2 linked regions of the Canis lupus familiaris genome follow. The protein of the gene in region 1 purifies or fractionates together with the protein of each later gene. This does not show direct contact. Links are inferred from orthologs where the notes say so. Each region holds a gene or a part of one and is shown in the gene's direction. Other genes may lie near its edges.

Region 1 (3,560 bases):
GATTTCAGCCCAGGTCATGATCTCAGGGTTGTGGAACTAAGCACGGTGTCGAGCTCTTGCACTGGGCGTGGCACCTGATTAAGATGCTCTATCTCCCTCTCCCCCAGCCCCCCTCCAAAAAAAATTAATGGGCCAGTTTAGGAGTGCCTAGATGGTTTAGTCCACAGAGCGTGTGCCCCCCCCCCCTTTTTTTAAGAAAGGGCACAGGGGTTGGGTGGGGGGCAGAGGGAGAAGGAGAGAGAGAATTTTAAGCAGGCTCCATACCCAGCACAGGGCCAAACACAGGCCTCAATCTGAAGACCCTGAGATCATGACCCGAGCTGAAATCAAGTCAGACACTTAATTGACTGAGCCGCCCAGACACCCGGAGCGTGTGACTCTTAACCTCAGGTTTGTGAGTTCAAGCCCTACATTGGGTGTGGAGCCTATTTAAAATAAAATTTTTTTAAAGTTTTTTTCTTTTTTTAAATGGGCCAGTTTATAAGCTTTTTGCCTGTGATTTCTACCTTCATCCTTCAGGCATCAGATGGTTCACTTTGATCAATGATCAGTAGTCACAGCTATTTTTGGTTTGGGGTTTGTTTTTTTTGAGAGAGAGTGAGTGGGGCGGGAGGGATAAAGGGAGGTCGGACAGAGGGAGAGGGAGAAACAGAATCTTAAGCAGGCTCTATGCTGAGCAGATCCTGACACAGGGCTCCATCTCATGATCCTGAGATCATGACCTGAGCCACCCAGATGCCCCAGTAATCACAGATGTTTTAAAAAGACCTCTTGGGGGGATCCCTGGGTGGCGCAGCGGTTTGGCGCCTGCCTCTGGCCCAGGGCGCGATCCTGGAGACCCGGGATCGAATCCCACGTCGGGCTCCCGGTGCATGGAGCCTGCTTCTCCCTCTGCCTGTGTCTCTGCCTCTCTCTCTCTCTCTCTGTGTGACTATCATGAATAATATTAAAAAAATAAAATAAAATAAAATAATAAAAAGACCTCTTGGGGATCCCTGGGTGGCACAGCGGTTTGGCGCCTGCCTTTGGCCCGGGGCGCGATCCTGGAGACCCGGGATCGAATCCCACGTCGGGCTCCCTGCATGGAGCCTTCTTCTCCCTCTGCCTGTGTCTCTGCCTCTCTGTCTCTCTCTGTGTGACTATCATGAATAAATAAATAAAATCTTTAAAAAAAATAAAAATAAAAATAAAAAGACCTCTTGGTCTACATTAGTTGCTGCTATGTAGCAAGTTCTGGTGCTGACTTCTAAGGGCTTCTGCCCTCAAATCAATTTTTGACACTGTAAATTGGTGTTTTCCCCAATTTCATTTGCATATAATATTTAGTGTTTATCTAATGACAGAACCATGTGTGCTATTACTTATTTTTTAATTGTCTCATTTTTCTAAAATACTTTCAGCTCATCTCTAGCAGTAATATCCATGAAATCTGGGCTTTGATGTGCTGCATATGTACTTTCCTGATTCACATTACATAACGTAAATTAAAAACATCCATCTCTTTATGTCAGAATCATCTTAAACTCTGTGTGGCTTTCAGTTATTACCTTCTCTGCATCATTAGGGTAGAAAAACTCCAGATGTGTATTTCTAGTCGGGTTGTTTTTTGTTTTGTTTTGTTTTTAATTCATGAGAGACACAGGTAGAAAGAGAAGCAGGCTCCCCAAGGGGAGCCTGATGTAGGACTCGATCCCAGGACCCTGGGATCACGCCCTGAGCCAAGGGCAGATACTCAACCACTGAGCCACCCAGGTGCCCCTCTAGTTGGTTTTTATTTCCACTGATAATGGGAAGAGACTGTCACCAGTGCTTAACCAAGAGATGAGATGCATCACACATCACATATGTACATGCCCTTTTCACACTGTATCACCTCCCAGGTTTGGTGACAATGACATGCAGAATCCCCTGCTGCTTTCTCAAATAACTTTGACTTGCACCCCCACTTTTTCTTTCACACCTTGAATTGATTTGCTTCCTTCTACATTTGCTGCTGTCTGTCCTGGCATTGCAAAAAAAATCTTTAAAGTGCACAGAGGGCTGGCTTTCATTTCCTTCTCTCCCTTCCAAAAGGTTTAGCTTCTTCTCCCGAGATAAGAAGCGTCTGGCCAACACGCAGAGGAACGTGCACATCCAGGAGTCGTTTGGCCAGTGGGCCAACTCCCACCGTGATGACAGTTACACGGAGCAAGGACAGGAAGCCCTGCAGCACCTGTGACCACAGCCCGCCTCCACCCTGGGACCTGAATTATCCACCGCCAGCGCCAGCAGTGGGACCTGGCAGCTTCAGGTGTTGCTACCTTGCACACCTCTCGGTTCAGATGCACCCCTAGAACTGATCCCTCAAACAAACTGCTTTGAGGAAGCACACTGAAAAACTGATGCCAAACTCTAAAGAAATGTTTATTTATACCCAGGGCTATGACCGTTTATAATAGATGACTGATCCCTTAGGATATATATTTAATAACACCATGAGCAGAGGCCAGACTTTTGCATTAACTTCAGTAACACAAGCTTCTTTAAGCCAAATACATCACATGCCACTATAATTACTGTTTGACTTACTTTGTATGAAATTCCGTGTAGGGGTTTTATTAACACATTTGTCGTACTGAAGTGGGAGGCAGGAAGCAGTAGATTTTCCTTATATCTCTCATGAAATTGTTGTGGTGGTAGCTCAGTACATAGGATGCATCCATTAGATAAGCAGGATAAGCCTCCAAAGTCACCAGACAAGCTGGCCCCACTTAGATGTGAGGCAACAGAAAATATGGTCCTCCTAACCCAGAAACTGGAGATGACTTTGCAAGAGCCAGTGGTTCTCTTTTGCACCTTGTTACTGATATTGCCTAGAGCATGTAACGAGTGCCTTGGAATCGGCTGTGAGTTATGCAGTACTAACCAAACAAAGTTGCTAAGGATGAGACATTGCAACCCTTTTCATTTCTTGTTTGTATTTTTTCCCCCTCAGCTTCTTTCTTTATCTTTAAATACATCAAACAGTCTCCTATAAAGAAGACCAATGTACAAGAGCAGATTTGAAAAGGGCGGGGGGGGGGGGGCGGGATAGGCTCACCAGCGTGAAGGCAGTGGGTGAAGAGATTGCTTGGGGACCGCATGTCTGGCTGACTCATAGGGATGTGGTGACACAGAGAGGGGCAGAAACCTGTATCTGGTGAGCTGAGATTTTGCCCAATAGCACTGTCTTTCTCTCTGCCCGCAGAGGACACCTCAGGGCACAGGCTGGGTGCTGACAGATTGAGAGAGGTAGCATTTGCTAGCAGAACACTCAAGTAACATCTGATGAGTCCACTACACATTCTGCTATGGTTTGCTAAGAAACCATCAGGTTGGTTTACAGTATATGGGGACTCTGTTTCCAGATTGCAGAAAAGAATGATCAGACAGGATAATGTTGCTTATGCACTGTGGTTCTCAAACCTGACTGCCCACAAGAATTATCAGTTGATTCTCAGAGTATAAAAGCAAGTGTATTGAGGAATCCCACTCCCCCTGGCCACTTTTAGTTGCCTTCTCAGGATTAACCAATGTTGCCA
Region 2 (4,048 bases), on another chromosome or scaffold:
TGTTTGCGGGGGGGGGGGCGGCAGGGTGTAAAAATATAGTTTTTACTTCTGTCTCAATCCCTGTTTCCAGATGTCTCAGGGTTTTCTCCTGTATCAGGACGAACCACAGGTTCAACTTCTCAGCCATGACATTCTAGGTGTGCTTTGCGGCGGTGCAACACACTGGGAATGGCAGGGCAGGAGGACGACTATTTAACCTACAGAAAGGAAGGAGAGGAAGAGGGAAGCATAAAGCCTGATGGGGGGAGCCCGAAGGAAGGGCTTAAGGCATATGAAAAGAGAGTGCCAGGAAGAGGCAGCGTCGGGTTGGGGCTGGCTTTAGTATCCTTCAATCTTGGACGCCGGTGGTTCGATTTTGGCGGCAGGGAGGGGCCGTGCTTCCCATGCATGGCGCTCGGGGCTCTCCCGTCTTCCAAAAGGACTGCAAGGCCTGCAGCGGGTTCTCGCCGTGGCGCCCGGCACCCAAGCCTCCACTTTGCGGGAAGGTCCTCCCCGCGCCCAGGTGTTCCTCAATCCTCCTCTCCTTGCCCTGAAAGGCGGATGACATCATCCCCACCTGAGCAGCCCGGCCAGTTTTTCCATTTCAAACTGCTGCTCTCTGGAACGTCAACTCTTGCTCGTTAAGCGGGATGGAGGTCTAAATGTTTCTCCCGTCACGATTAGCCACGAGGGCGGGCACTCCGGGGATGCGTCTCATTTTAGCAAAGAGCCCATTAACGACCCAGGGCGCCACTTTTTTCTCGCGTTTACGAGCCGCCGCTGCACCGGAACATATGGCCGTCCGAGCCTGTCAGTGCGCCGAGACCTTCAACTCGACACACGCGACAAACGGGACCGGGAGCCTCCGCAGCGTAGCCAGGAGGGCGACCCCCGGAAGACGCCCGGCGGGGTGTGGGGGGTGCCAAGGGGCTACTCCAGCGTGCCGCGCCTGCGCAGTCGCCAGGCAGCGCCTCCCCGCGGGGCGTGCTCGTAGCGCCGCGCACCCTATCAGGCGGCCGCAGGGAGCGCGCCCGCGGCCTCGCCCTCTCTCGCCCCTCCCCTCTCTCTTCTCCGCGGGGCCCTAGGCTGAGGCTCTGAGGCCCCGGCGCGCCGCTCCCCGCCCCCGCGTGCCCCGACACCCTCCGGCGCGCGTGCGCAGAGGCGATCCGCAGGGCGAGGGCGCGAGGGAAGGGCGGGCGTACGTCCTTGCGTGCGTCTCAGGCAGCGCGCACGCCGGCGTGAGAGGGCACGGGGAAAAGGTGGCTCTGGCCGGGGAGGCTCGGCTTCCTGTGGCTATGTAGCTGAGCTCGTCGGCTCGGGGTCCTCCTTCGCTGCCGCCGCCGCGTCCTGGCGCGGAGTTTCTGCTCGGGAGAGAGCCTGTCCTCACGTCCGCCGCGCTCCCTCGACGGCAGAGCTTGTTCGCTCGCCCGTGGGAGCGTCCCGGCCGAGCAGCCCTGAGGGGGGAGGGGAGGCCATTTTGTCCCGACCGACTCCCCGGAACCGGGCGGAGCGGCTGGGAGAGGCTGCGGAGCCGCGGTCGCCGCCCTCGGAGGCACCGGACGCCGCCACCGTCGGGGCTTCCTCGACGAGGCCGTTCGCAGGTCGCCCGCGCCCTCTCGAGCCCTCGTTTTTCCCACGCTACCCCGGTCCTCCGGCCTGAGAACGCCCAAGTGAGGAGTTGGCCGTCGTGAGAGGGACCGATCCCTTGGGGCCGCCGGCGGCGAGAGCCTGAGCCGCTCCTCCCAATGGCGAAGAAGACGTACGACCTGCTTTTCAAGCTGCTCCTGATCGGAGACTCGGGAGTAGGGAAGACCTGCGTCCTTTTTCGTTTTTCGGATGATGCCTTCAATACCACCTTTATTTCCACCATAGGTAAGACCTGTGGGAAGATGGTGTACGGTCTGGGTAGCTGCAGACCGTTTCTTTTAACTCCAGACATCTTGCTTCCCGTAATAAACGCCTTTGTTTCAGTGATTCCGATTCCAGGCGAACAGACCCAAGTTACTGATTGAATCGACATCGAGCTTGCTGGGGCGGGGTCTTCCCATGCTTTCCATCCGGTCTTTTGCTTTCGAGTCTCCCACTCTGTTCATTGCCTCTGTTGCAAAATATGCAGCATTAACCACGTTCCAAAATGCTGTTTCTTTAAGCGCCTGGACTGGCTTTTTCCATATCTGTGTGGCGTTAACTAGATGTACGATACTTGTAAGGGATTTATTTTAGGGGATGGGATGGAAGCCGTAGTAGTCGTTTGGTAAAGGCCTGGATTTAATACTTAGGGGCAGAGAGAAGGTTCCATATGGTCATAACTTAGAGTAAACTTGAGGGTTTGTGTGAGGAATAATTAAAGCAAATTAGAGGGGAAAAGTGAGTTCCCCCGCGTTGACTAATCCATTGATGTGTCAAACAATCGGAGGCTCTTCGTGCTTGGGGTGGGACTCAGTTGGCACGTTTGCCTCACAGTGCTTTTCCAGACATCAACAGGAGCAGTAATCTAAGAGAGATGATCATTTTCAGTCCTCAAACCCGAAAGAATGAAGTCCTCTCTTCCATTTGACTTTACGCTCCGGTTTATAGGAAAACATTTGGCCGGTCCTCTTAGCCCTAGAACTTCTCATGTACTTTCACCTCATGTTTCAGGATTACTTAGATTAGTAAGTAAGAACTAAAGATTGACCTTTTAAGTCGGTTTCCCGTTTTGGAAAAGAGAAGGCTCTAGGAAAGTCCCTTTGGACTCTGGTTAGAAAATTTAGTGGCATTAACACAATTTGTGTTAAACGAGTTGTGTGTGGAAACCGTCCTTTCCCTCCCCCCCCCGCCCCCCCAAATATCTTAAAGGACACATGGTTGCTCCTGTCATGTGGAGCCCAGCACTCAGCATTGGGGGAGTGCAGTGAAATCCAATTATAAGTGTAACTAGTTTTATATTTGAGACGATTTTAAAAAGCAACTCCAGTCTTCTCTGAACTCTGGGAATTGTCAAAATTAAGCTGATTTCAATTTATAGCATTACTGGAATGGTTGATTTGGATTTCTTAGGACAACGTTTTAATTCATTGTTACAAAATTATGCTGAAACTAAATTGGGCAAGTGATCATTTAAAATAGATTTTAATTTTACTCTTCTTTTTTTCTGGGGTGGGTAAGAGTCATTGCAATCATTATTTCATGTGTATCATACTATTCTTTTGACCTGTCATAAATTTAATGAAATTTAGAACTTGTTCTCTGCTTGTGGATTAGCCCCTCCTATCACTAAGTTTGCTTTTAATATTCCCCTTTTAGCTGTAGCTGGGTGGGTCAAGTGGTTAGATCAGCAAATATTTATTGAGCACCTAATGTTAGGCACGGTTTTAGGTACTCTAAGTGGTGAACACAATAGACCCCTTGAGCAGTCTAGTGAGGACAGAGTGTGGGAACTGCTACAGTAGGGATGCACATAGGGAGGAAGGGTGATTAGCCTGAATCATGGGGAGTCTTAACTAGGCTTGCATAGATATGGTGTTTGAAATGAAGCCTGCAGGACATAGGAATTGGGATGGGATAGGGCCTAGAAATTCTGGAAAAGGAACATAGTCTGTGAGATCAAGGATTTAATTTGTGTGGTCAACTTTAACCTGCTATTGAGAAGAGTAGGCGGAGAATGAGAAGCAATGCATTAAGCCCTATTTCAGTCTTTTTATAATGGGTACACACCCTCAAGTAGAACCCAGTCCTCCTGTAAGATGACACAATCTTGTGTAGTCCTTTTTAAAAGTTTTATTTGTGTTTTTGGTAATCTCTACACCCATCATGGGGCTTGAACTCACAACCTTGAGATCAAGAGTCTGTGCTCTTTCAACTGAACCAGCCACCCTGTGTAGTCCTTTTATTAGGGAAAATGTGTGGTGGCTTTGGTTTGAGCCTGCTGAGTTGGAATCCTACTTCCACAGTCTGTGGGCTTTGGCAAGTTACTTAATTTCTATGTGCTTCAGTTTCTTCTTTAAATAGGACCTACTACATAGGGTAGTTGTGAGGATTTTATGGATCAGGGAGGGTAGAGCATCTAACATGGTGCCAGGCACACTGT

Evidence for each region. The genes of interacting proteins can lie anywhere in the genome.
Region 2: the proteins of RILPL1 (region 1) and RAB10 purify together in Homo sapiens (co-immunoprecipitation; 3 studies listed by BioGRID and IntAct, with this or other methods). This does not show direct contact. The link is inferred for Canis lupus familiaris from reciprocal best matches to the Homo sapiens genes RILPL1 and RAB10.

Annotation. Positions count from the first base shown.
Region 1 is NC_049247.1:6,343,689-6,347,248, forward strand, and holds part of RILPL1 (RILP-like protein 1), read left to right. Parts: intron 1-2,073; coding exon 2,074-2,218; 3' UTR 2,219-3,560. UniProt on the Homo sapiens protein: Plays a role in the regulation of cell shape and polarity. Plays a role in cellular protein transport, including protein transport away from primary cilia.
Region 2 is NC_049238.1:20,245,900-20,249,947, forward strand, and holds the start of RAB10 (ras-related protein Rab-10), read left to right. Parts: upstream 1-1,231; 5' UTR 1,232-1,724; coding exon 1,725-1,851; intron 1,852-4,048. UniProt on the Homo sapiens protein: The small GTPases Rab are key regulators of intracellular membrane trafficking, from the formation of transport vesicles to their fusion with membranes.